3 linked regions of the Xenopus tropicalis genome follow. The protein of the gene in region 3 purifies or fractionates together with the protein of the main gene of each other region. This does not show direct contact. Links are inferred from orthologs where the notes say so. Each region holds a gene or a part of one and is shown on either strand. Other genes may lie near its edges.

Region 1 (4,167 bases), on a different chromosome or scaffold from region 3:
CTCCCCTGCTCCTCCCTCCCATAAAAATGCTAAGAACTCCCTCTCCCCCCCCCCTTAGGAATGTGTGATCTGAGCCAATCAGCAGGAAGCTTCCTCATAGTCTTACTAACTGCGCATGTACAGGGGTCTTGGTCTTGGTGCAGGAGCGAGGCATTATGGGAAGTTTCTTGAAAAAAAAAAAAAAAAGGCCAGCATTTTTTTTCCAATGAGGCTTCTGACCATCTGAACAGGACAAATATGGGGAGACTTAAGGGCACTATTGAGAGAACTGAAGGTATGCCTGCAGCTTGAGATTAACTGTTTATTAGTCTTCCCTTCTCCTTTAAACCAACAGTCAATTTCCAGTGGAAAAAGTGCTACGATAGAGTGTATCGCTGCCAGGTATCACCCGCATATGATTATGTACTGCCAAAGGACCTCCACATTTAGATGGGCACGATTCTCCCAAAGCAGGGACATATGGACAAATTTCTCAGTGTAGAGTACAGATAGCATTATACCTTATGGGGACACTTGCACAGGCCGGGCTCTCTAAAACCAGATCTGCATGACTTTAGGTAAAAGCTAACAATTTTAAATAAATCTGCAATATAGGAAATCAATAAACAGAATGAAGAAAAGTGCTGATTACAGTATGGACGAAATTTTTTTTACAGAAGTTATCATTGCTGTATGGATTAAGCCATCTGTAATAATGATTCACAGTTCCAGCAGATACACTAAATCAAGGTAATTATACAGTAGGCCCTGAATAAACTGTCTTTGTGAAACACAGAGCAAAGTGGCATTAAAATAAGATAAAGTACATCATGTAGTTATATGGTAAAAGGAAAAGCAAAACTTACACTTTGTACGGCAGTCGGGGGTCTGACGTAAGTGTGATTTTAAATGTAACCTTTGACCTTGAAAAATTCAAACAAAAAAAGTTAGAAAATGTAACTGTATTAATTATAGTAATTATAATTGCTGTTATAAAGCTCAATGGTCCCAAATAAAGCAAAATGCCATATTTGTGGCAAGCAGTGCTTCCTTGGGATGCGCTTTCTTCAGCATCAGTCAACCATCTAATCTGATCTCATAGCAACAGGCAATTTCAAGGTTTGCAGTGATGCTCCCATACAATATGTCCCATCACTCCCACATAATGGCCTGCCTTATCTCTATACTGCTGAATTAATCAAATAGGATATTTGATGTTTATAAATAAAAATGTAATAAAAGGAAGTTATTAGCCCCAAGATGGAATGAATTTGGAACACTATAAATAAGGTCATGTGGTTAATATTAAATGTATCAGAAATTTAAAAATGTATAACCAAACTCAATGCTTTTAAATATAAACATGCAATACATTTCTTTGTAGCTGTGTTAGCCTGCTCCTTATTGAGCTTCAAGTCTTCATCTATGAGTCCACGGTCGGACTGGGCCAGCAGGAAAAACCCTGTGGGCACTGCCAACCCAGTCCCTGCCTTTTTGAGCTCCACCCCCGATTACGAGCAAATGTAAATATAACACTGCTATGCTGCCCAATGGTGGGTGGACTTACGACTGGGGTAGGGGGCTCTGAGGTGGCAGCCCCCTGACACCCCAGTCTAATACTGTGTGATTCTGCTGTTCCACAGCTAATTCTTATCTGTGCTGGTTCCAGGTGGGTATGATACAACAGCGACTACACTGGGGACTTGGGAGGCAGGGATAGGGGTCTCAGGTAACACTAATATTGTCACTGCACAAATCTGGTGCAGATCTGTTTACAGGGGCAGTTGAAACTAAAGCTGGTCATACACGGTAAGATCCGCTCACTACTCAGTGAGCAGATCTTCTCCCAATATCCCCACCTACAGGTGGCGGTATTGGTGCAAATTAGAACGGCAGGTATAGGCGCCATCAGTTTTCACAGTGAGGGCAGTGAGGTTGGGGAATGCCCTTCCTAGTGATGTTGTGATGGCAGATTCTGTTATTGCCTATAAGAGGGGCCTGGATGGGTTCTTGAACAAGCATAGTAGTCCAAGGCTATTGTGATACTAATACCTACAGTTAGTTTGTATAGGTATTACAAAATTAACTATGCAACTACACAGTGCTGACCAAGGCAGCAGTCCCTGTATTCACAGGAGCAAATCTGAAAACAAAGCCAGCTAAGGCTGCAGATGGGGTTTTGCTCCCTTTTTGGCACTCTGTAGTGTAACTAACCCCACTGCACATCACATATTGTAACTAATGGGCAAAACAGAAATCCTGGGATGAAAGTCACAACTTGCTTAAAAATACACCTCTAGATTTAAGCAGGGCCTGATTTACACACATAAGTGCTAGACTACACCACAGCAGTTACCACTTAGCAACCAATCAGATGACTGATTTCATTTTCTCATACTGAGTGAACTGTTCAAAGCAAATTGTTGAATGGTTGCTGCACTTCAGTGCCAATAATTAGTAATGACAAAAACCTCAGGCAACCAGAATAATATCATAATGATCTCTTTCATTATTCTAACTGCTAAACAGTTGCTATGGGTTAAAGAACTAGGGTAAACTTTGTATCATTATATAACCCCCTTCAGAACAGAATGAATGTCAATAAGCCCTGTTGGCTGGTGTAGCCTGCATTAAATAGGCACTGTAGGTGCCAGGGCTGCTGTACCAATGAAAGCATACAGCAGCTCTATTCAGTACAAAGTTAGAATAACATTTGAAATGACAGAGATCTGGAAAGTGTCAATGCTTCGCTGTTGATCAATTTTAACCCCCCCGCGAAATGACTCTTAATAGTAGCGTCCATGGAACTGCGGACAGCTGACTGCTGCCTGCTGCCTACACATACACTGTAATGAAATAAAGATGAATTGTTAATTAGAAAAGGAACCCAACATAATGAGTCCACAGCTACTAACATTGTATGTGCGGAAATGTTACGCTGCCGGTAGCACAGGTAGAATTGCCGGTGTCTTGGTCCCGTAGAAGCAGCCTGTCCTCGTTCTACGTCATCAACACTAGTTCAGCGAGAGGGATAGCTGTCCAACTACATGCCTGTCAGAACCCCCGGGCACAACAACATATACCAACTACAAAAATACAAGGTGTGTGTTGTTTAAATCTACAGATAACCATATTTAAAAGTATCGCTATTCAAACAGAAGGGCAACAGTAAAATGCCACGTAGTTTTTTTTAAACTGGCGCTAATGGGCTGCATATCTGAACTGGCCTTCCGAGGTACACGTGTTAATTGACAGAGGGCTTGTGCGTCATTAGGCTGGAAGCTTTCAGCGGCCATCTTTGATTAGGGCAAGCTTTGGCTAGGGTAAAGTCTTATAGTTCTGCTGCTTGCATTGTATTGGAGTTACTTCAGAAAACAATACATTTAATGAAAGGATTTGATATATACACAGTGGACTTTGGGGTATTTTACCTTTATAATGTAGATGGACCTATTTTAAGCACAATTTTGTTGGCTTTCCTTATTTATTTTAAATGGCTTTTGCATTATTACCTTTCATATTCTGCCTGTTTTCAGCCAAAAAAATAGATTTACTGACAGAGTCTCTTTCTCTGCCCAGCTGGGGGATTGTGAGTGTGCTCCTGTGATGTCACAGCACATGAGCACTGAATGAGTGTGAGTGCTCACTCAACCACATAAGCACCTAATGAACAGGAGTGGGGTTTAATGGAAACATTGTTAGATTCCTAAATTTTTGGGAGGGTTGACAGCTCTGATTATTGTGATATATAGCTCTTACTATTCCTACTTGAACCTGCCTCCATTTCTACATAATATACTCCTGCTTGTCTGTAAGGCAAAACATTTGCAATAAAAGGGTGAAGGAAGGTGGTTGTTTATACAGATCTCAGTATCACTAGTTAAAGTAAATCAACTTATTAATGGTAACATAGTAATTGTGAAAATGAAATAATGCTATTTGTTCTGCTTAATGATATAAATGATTAATAATTTGTAATTAAAAGAATATCTATTTTACTTATGCTGACAAAAGCTGTATATTGGTTTATATTGCCCTTTTAATATTCATAATAGCTATAATAATGATAATATTAGCGGATCTTAATATACATTGGTGTCATTGTTTTAAAAAGTATTTAGTCATTTTTGTGAAAGGGTAAAATTAAGCACTAATTGTTTCATCCTTAGTTTTTAACCTTGCAAAGTG
Region 2 (4,245 bases), on a different chromosome or scaffold from region 3:
ATTAGGCAGCTGTTGCTGTACTACAACTCCCAGCATAAACACAGCTCTAGTATAATATCCTGACATGCATTAAGCACAGATTTCTATCTGATACAGAGAGACAGCAGGCATTTGTCAGACACATATGCTCTTTATCCCACGTGAAGTTTATAATGGACAAGCATTCCCTCAGGGGAAAAGCTAATACACATTCATTACTGCTTCTACCCTCCTTATAAGTGATGTTACTCTTCTACCCTGAAAATTGCTCTCTTTGGATCTCCCCTGTCATTTGATTCAGAAATTGCTGAGCAAATAAATAGATTCAGTAGCTTATGCCTTATTTTCCACTTTTAATAGAATATTAAGAGAAAGTAGCATAAAACAGTTCTCAGATTTCGTAATATCAGCCAAGGCATATAAAATGCCAGTGTGCCCCAAACCCAGTAATAATAATGTGCAGGGCTGTAATCTAGGAAGCCACTCTTTTCCTGGCACTTTTAGTATCACTGCCTCATTGCACAGGGCCTTGTTTGCGATCCGTGCGGGTACTTGCCCTCTAATCAAACTGACCTTATGGGGTAGATTTACCAAAATGAGATTTTTGAGCTTAATACATAAAAACTCACCCATGTTCTATTCATTCCTATGGGTTTTTTTAGATGTGTATTTATCAAACGGTGAGTTTTAACTTTCGCCCATCATAAATACGCTTCTAAAAACCCCATAGGAATGAATAGAAAGTGAGTATTTTCCTGTACTGAGCGCATTTTTATAAATTTGCCCCTATGTGTATACATGTGTGGATAGGTGCATTAGAATACTAGGGCTCTTACACATGGACATTTATTCTTTCGATCCCATGCAGTGGCCTCATACCGCACGGAAACACATGGTACACAACATATAGCACGCCACCTGCGTTCAACTGTTCAGCATGGTGCCTTTGGTACAGACACAATAGAAAGGAATGGGCTCCTGTAACTCATGCTTTCCCATGAAAAAGCCAGCTTACGGGATCACATGAGTAAATGTCTGCACATAACAACCTTAAGATCCATTAAGTTAGGGACTGATGTAAATACTTAATCCTCCATAAGAGATATTTGCATTAGAGCAGAAAAAAATATGTTACCTTTAGGTGTCAATAATTTTAGGATCACAATATACAGTTGAATATGAAGGATACATTGAATGGGAATTCTAGGAATAAGCCTACAAAGCAAAGCCTGGATGCAGTGCATGCCTAAAGTGATATTCTATAACAGGGCTGGGAAACCTGTGGGAGTTTGCAGGGGGTATTGAGCTGTCAGAGTGTGGGCATTGTGTTTCAATCGATTTTATATTATGGAATCAAGTTGTGTGACTGATTCTTTCCTACTGTAAAAGACAAAGAGCTCATCCTGGCCTCCAAAAGGAAGGCTACTGTCACAACACATCAACACAGGACACCTACAGACCATAAAGTTGCCCTTGCAAAAGAAGAATGTTTCCTCTCAGCTGCTTAAAACAATACACAGATTGCAAATATATTAAAGGGACTCTAATATAAGAGGATTCTGTTTCTACTGTACATATATAAACTGACACCCTTCTGCCTTACCATACACACAGCATAAGGGCACCTTAACTTACAATTTGGGGAGTCCTAGACTTGCATGGTTAAACTTCACGCCTGCCGACACTTGTTGGAGTGAAGATACTAGGGGAGTAGAGTGAATAGAAGCAGAAGGTGCAAATTGTCCAGCCCAGTGCCTAGTAATAAGTGACAAGTGTTTGTTCAACACCTAGGAAGGACCTCTGGGGGGCTTATATATATGATCTTGGTTACGGGACCTCATGGACTGACAATTCACAGGTCTTTCTATTGGAAAGGTGTAAATAATTCCCCTTCATAGTAATGTTTAGAAACAAAGGGGGTGGTGTTGGCCAAATACAACTCCCAGCATCTATAACCATCCATCAGCTGTAGGGGCTTAGGGATTTGTAGGGCACAGTAGTTAAAGGACTGCAGGTATTACATGTTTGAGTCAGCTGAAGTAAACAATACATATATACATACAAAGCAACTGTTTCAATAAATGAATAAAAAGCATGAATGAAACTTTGTTTAAAACAAAATCCAGACTATTTGGCAAAAGACTCCCCTCAAAATATTAGTGAGCAATAAGTTACAATGTATATATAAATAAATATATATATATTGCTGACTATATACATTACTCATTAGCATTGGTGCTGTGAGTTACCAACAACCAATACATTATTTATCTTGTTTCACAACTTGTCGGATATAGAGACTAATGACACACATGGCAGCCCCAGCCACACACAGGCAACATTCAGCTGTGATATGTGAACAGATAATTATTAATTAGCTTCATTAAGGCCATGTCCCAAGCACACACAAACACAGCACATTTCCTAGGCTGCCGGCCGGATCGCTCATGCAGGATAATGGCAAAACTATGCAGGGAATTACATAACCGGGACAGGGGGGACTGTCGCTAGTTTCTGTTTATGCCACAGGCAAACAAAGCAGAGAGACACTGCAACAGCCCAAACCTCTGCAGTCTAATAGAGCGCTGTATGATTCACTCTGCAAGGCATTATCTCCTCCTCCCTCCACTCAGTTTGAATTGGGGGCCACATGCTGATGGCCGGACCCACTGTTTTGGCTTAGCACCCTCTGAGCACCCACATCTGCTTACCTTGCAGGTTGTTTTGCTGGAGGTACGGAGGGGCCGTAGGGGTGACATTGCCGGAACTGGGAGAAATGAGAGGGGAGCGCTCGTCAATCCCATCAGCAGCCATGACTGCAGCAGCTGCAGCTCCGACAGAAGGAAGGGAAGCACTCGCACAAAGTCTGTGTCACAGGGCTGGGAAGCACAAGAAAGAGGGAGGAGACAGTGGACCAAATACAGCCCCCCCATCCCCTCCGTGTGCTACAAAGGGGCCAAAAGCACATGGACTTTCCCATTTAGAGAATTCTGGAAGAGTTCATTGATAGGACTGTATGATTCTGGGTACCATTCATTGCATCTCTCTGCAGTTGATAAACAGCTTGGTGTGTGGGTGTGTCATGGAGATATACTTGGGTTTTATTTCCCCTTTATTATGAGCTTTTGCACAGATGGAGGGTATGTTAAATAACCTTGTGATTGAGCCAGTTGCGCATCATACAGCAGATTAGACCAGAGGGGGCGTGTCTCTGCAGGGTATTTACTAAATCAGAAGCCAGGGGCACAGCCAACTTGCTTTCCCTGGCTTGCCTTGAACTTGAAGAGCTACAGTACAGGGGCATTTTGATGGCTGCTGATGCCTTTCAACAGTTGAAATGCCCCTCTCCATAGCACTGAATGAAAAGCACCATACTGAAAACACATGGGGGCACATTTACTAATCCACGAATGTCCGAAAAGCACCCGAATGCGTTTTTTTTTTCGTAATGATCGGTATTTTGTGATTTTTTCGTAAATTGTCGCGACTTTTTCTTAGCCATTACGACTTGCGCAAATTGTTGTGACTTTTTCGTAGCCGTCGCGCCGAGTATGAAAGTTTCAGATTCATTCAAGCTTCAGTATCGTGACTTTTCTTGGGCCGGGTTGGAGCTGCAGAGTGCCATTGAGCCCTATGGGAGACTCTCCTTGGGCCGTGTTGGAGCTGCAGAGTGCCATTGAGCCCTATGGGAGACTTTCCTTGGGCCGGGTTGGAGCTGCAGAGTGCCATTGAGCCCTATGGGAGACTTTCCTTGGGCCGGGTTGGAGCTGCAGAGTGCCATTGAGCCCTATGGGAGACTTTCCTTGGGCCGGGTTGGAGCTGCAGAGTGCCATTGAGCCCTATGGGAGACTTTCCTTGGGCCGGGTTGGAGCTGCAGAGTGCCATTGAGCCCTATGGGAGACTTTCCTTGGGCCGGGTTGGAGCTGCAGAGTGCCATTGAGCCCTATGGGAGACTTTCCTTGGGCCGGGTTGGAGCTGCAGAGTGCCATTGAGTCCTATGGGAGGCTTCCAAAATCATGCAAAGTCTGAAAGGTTTGCCCGCCGTTTACGAGCGCTCAATACGAAAAAGTTGCGTCAATATACGAGCAAGTCGTAACGGCTACGAAAAAGTCGCAACAATATATGAGCAAGCCGTAACGGCTACGAAAAAGTCGCGACAATTCGCGCAAGTCATAATGGCTACGAAAAAGTCGTGATGGCGATGAAAAAAACACAAAAAATACGAAAAAGTCGCAAAATGTTAGTTTCCAATCCGATTTTTTCCCA
Region 3 (3,651 bases):
ACTCTGATCAAGATGGAGACTTGGTGGAGAGAAACCACAGAGATGCCAACTATTACAAACAGCAATGGCGCATGGGGCAATTACCCACTAACCTGAATAACCTGCACCAAATCTACTTGGCAGAATGGGTCCAAGTCATCCCTAAGCGGCAAGAAAAGCTGGTACTAACTTACCCCCAAAGGATGAATTATTACTGCAAAGGTACAACAGAATATTAATCTGTTGGGGTTGAATTCTTATAATATTTTTATGGTTTATATACACATTACAAAATGCAAAATCACATGCCTAAACGCCATTTACAAAGGCCAATTCACAAACAAACATCCTAGTAAATTGCACGATACACTGTTTTTGAGGCAGTGCTCAAGCATTCTCCATTGACTTTAGTAACAGTTCTCATAATAGTGGTCATAAACATGGCTCCTTTATGGTTCTCATTAACTGAAAATGCTTCATCTGCGCCAAGCAAAATGGCAGATCCTAGTCATATGTTAGGCTAACGTTGGGCTGCTCACTTCCGGGTGGCCCTGTCCTACACCATGTTCTACCTGTCCCCTTTTTCTTCTTGATAACTGTAACCTTCTCTCTTTTCCATAATATGCACACAAAAATTGATATTCTCATATACCTACAATGATTTTATCCCCCGTCCCACTCCTGCATTTGTCCTTCTTTCTGCTATGGTCTCACCTGTCACAGACAAAGGCCACACAGGCCTGGTACAGCTGGATTGCAGGCAACAGCCCTGCTGAGTCGGCACCGATCTGCCTCAGGACAGAAGGAACATCGCAAACCAATGCCAGCAACTCTTTTTGTATATCCTCACCCTGCACGGCAGAAGTAAATGGGATGATGCAGCTACAAAGTGCAACTTGTTGTTGCAGCAAGTTGAAGGGAGAGGGCAAGGGAAAGCGTGTTTGCTGTCAGCAGCACAAGTCCCAGTGCAATATTACATGGCATCCTATCAGAAAATTAATTTTCATTTGTGTACTGCAGATAATATAATGTAAGTAAAGTCTCTATAAGTTAGTGCCCCGGGGAACATTTGTCCAAGCTAGTAATAAGCCACAGGCAGTTTAGATAAGAAATCTGACTATAAGGAGGTAGACTGCAGGGAATCAGAGAGGACCATTGAGAGAAAGACATAAGGATATAACTGGGCTGGGGGCAAAAGTAAGCATTGGCAAAGGCTTCATGTTCTTACACTGATCCCATAGTTTTTGCAGCTGTTATAATATTGTTCTCGCTGTTCTGCTGCTCCGTGCAAGCATTCTTCCGCCCTGCGCTCACTCTCCAGAGCCAGTTGCTCACAGCGAGACATTTGCTTCCTCAGAGCTGGGATCTCATAGCTCACACTGCGCATCAGGAGACTGGCCGACTCCCCTGCAGGAGGGACACACACGGTGAGCTCTCAGATCACTGCCCTGTGACACACAAACCTGCTACTGCATAACATACTCACCCAGGTAAGTATTGTCAGCCTGGTACAGAGACACCACCTCCTGCCAGTCCTGCCGAGAAGAACAACAAGCAATTATACCATAATAAAAAGTAAACAATGAAGCTGTGCCAGTAAATCTTACCGATTACTACAATCATGCTACTTGCCTCTCATTTGCTTTAACATTCCGATTCCTAGCATTTTACCTTTCAAATAGGGGTCACTGACCCCAACATCCAAAATCTAATGCTCTGTGAGGCTACAAGTTAATTATTATTGTTACTTTTTATTACTTATCTTTCTATTCAGTCCCTGTCCTATACATATTCCTGTCTCTCACTTAAACCACTGCCTGGTTGCCAAGGTAAAATTCCAAACAGGAGAGCTGCTGAACAAAAAGCTTCATCACTGAAAAACCACCAAAATAAAAAATGAAGACCAATTGCAAATTAACTCAGAATATCACTGCGTACATCATACTAAAAGTTAATTTAAATGCGAACAGGCTCTTAAGATGTTGATATGGCCCCTTCAGACTGAGTCAGCGACTTATGTGTCTATGCCAAATTGCTTTCCAATAGATATCTGGCCACAAATCAGCCAGATATCTATCCATCAGGCATGAAAATCCCATTGAGCAGGGACCACATCACTGTGTTGATGATGTTCTCTCCTAACGGGCCAGCACAGGAGCCTACTTTGATCTAATCACTGGCCTGGGGAAGGGTGGTTTGTGTTAATTAATGGGTTAGTCCAAAGTAAATTTGCACATAATCAATTTAAACCGGTTAGAACATTTAGTTAGTGTGAGGCTTCATTATTCACGGTTTCAGAAGGATGAATGTACTGCTGGGAATAAGCCAATCACCTTCATTCTCTGAGACGAATATCTCCCGAACAGATTCCTGGTTGCGGCTTCGGTTCCTTTCAGGATCTCCACAATCTTCAGACAGTGGAAGTAATTAATATCTGGGCAGTAGGAATATTTGAATTAATTAATAACAATGGAAAATCATTCAGCATTTGCCACCTGTTATTATAACCACGGAGGGGAAGGAATTACTTTTTATAACTATAAGCACTTAGAGTCGTATTAAATTACATACTTTTGCTCATCAAAATTAAATGAAAAAATAATTTACTAAACAGAATATATTCTAATTATAAACCTGTAGAAAACCTATTTCTATACAGATGAATATTTAAGGTCACCAAGACACACAAGGCAAGCTTTACTAGGTTGCCCTGCTCTGTAACCCCAGTAAAGAGAAAATATACAAAATATATGATATATGTACAGGGCATTGTGAGATTTGGAGGCAGGCGACTACTGTTACATTTTATTTGAGTCAAAAAGTAGTCAGATCAGCAGGGGAACAGGGGGCGGGGTTTAGGGAACTGCTCCAAACCAGATTATTACATTAAAAATCATGAAAAGGCTGCATATTTTTTAATTTATGTATATTGCAAAGTTGCTTGAAATTGTGTTTTCTTTTCAAAAAGTTGTGTTTGAAAAAAAAAAAATGGGTGTTAATATCCATTAAATGAGGAATATACAGGCAGTTAGTTAGTTTACCAGATAAATCCAAGGACACATAAATATTCAATATCTACCTAATACCAGCTTTAGTAGGTGTTTACTATGCCCAATACAACACAACATCCTTCAGATGTAAATTCTATGCCTGCCACTTACATGTCCCAGAGAGCAGACCCCGGATCTCATCATGCTCTGGCATGTCCTGCAAGGCTTGGTTGATCTTCTCTCTAATCTGTAATACTTTGCTTTGCCATTTTAGGGTACAGTGGCGCCGGTCCACTAGCCAATCTGCAAAAATACCAGAGAAGCAGGTTAAGAAAGAAGGCAAAGAATAAGACAGCTCCTGTTAATACAGATATACTAAGGTGACCAGCTCATTCAAAAATTCAGGGACACATCTAATAAATACATGTTGCAGGGCATTACCGATATTAAATTAAACTGTAATCAGTTAAGCCCTGCTAGCTGTATTTTCTAGATGTGCCCCTGAATTTTCAAGTGATTTGGCCACCCTAGGATACACATATGGATACGTGCATACTGAGGGATATGGCACAAAGGGCATATTCATTGTTAAGGCTACTTGTATGTATGTATGTATAACTTTATTTATAAAGCGCTACTTATGTACGCAGTGCTGTACAGTAGAATACATTAATATAAACAG

What was found.
Region 1: the proteins of cdk5rap3 (region 3) and ufm1 purify together in Homo sapiens (co-immunoprecipitation; 3 studies listed by BioGRID and IntAct, with this or other methods). This does not show direct contact. The link is inferred for Xenopus tropicalis from reciprocal best matches to the Homo sapiens genes CDK5RAP3 and UFM1.
Region 2: the proteins of cdk5rap3 (region 3) and pip4p2 purify together in Homo sapiens (affinity purification with mass spectrometry; 3 studies listed by BioGRID and IntAct, counting the BioPlex papers as one, with this or other methods). This does not show direct contact. The link is inferred for Xenopus tropicalis from reciprocal best matches to the Homo sapiens genes CDK5RAP3 and PIP4P2.

The regions. Positions count from the first base shown.
Region 1 is NC_030678.2:151,095,401-151,099,567, forward strand, and holds the start of ufm1 (ubiquitin-fold modifier 1), read right to left. Parts: upstream 2,946-4,167; 5' UTR 2,897-2,945; coding exon 2,895-2,896; intron 903-2,894; coding exon 846-902; intron 1-845. UniProt on the Homo sapiens protein: Ubiquitin-like modifier which can be covalently attached via an isopeptide bond to lysine residues of substrate proteins as a monomer or a lysine-linked polymer.
Region 2 is NC_030682.2:126,751,523-126,755,767, forward strand, and holds the start of pip4p2 (type 2 phosphatidylinositol 4,5-bisphosphate 4-phosphatase), read right to left. Parts: upstream 2,904-4,245; 5' UTR 2,794-2,903; coding exon 2,691-2,793; intron 1-2,690. UniProt on the Homo sapiens protein: Catalyzes the hydrolysis of phosphatidylinositol-4,5-bisphosphate (PtdIns-4,5-P2) to phosphatidylinositol-4-phosphate (PtdIns-4-P).
Region 3 is NC_030686.2:11,662,793-11,666,443, reverse strand, and holds part of cdk5rap3 (CDK5 regulatory subunit-associated protein 3), read right to left. Parts: intron 3,273-3,651; coding exon 3,141-3,272; intron 2,414-3,140; coding exon 2,313-2,413; intron 1,515-2,312; coding exon 1,466-1,514; intron 1,387-1,465; coding exon 1,208-1,386; intron 831-1,207; coding exon 694-830; intron 1-693. UniProt on the Homo sapiens protein: Substrate adapter of E3 ligase complexes mediating ufmylation, the covalent attachment of the ubiquitin-like modifier UFM1 to substrate proteins, and which is involved in various processes, such as ribosome recycling and reticulophagy (also called ER-phagy).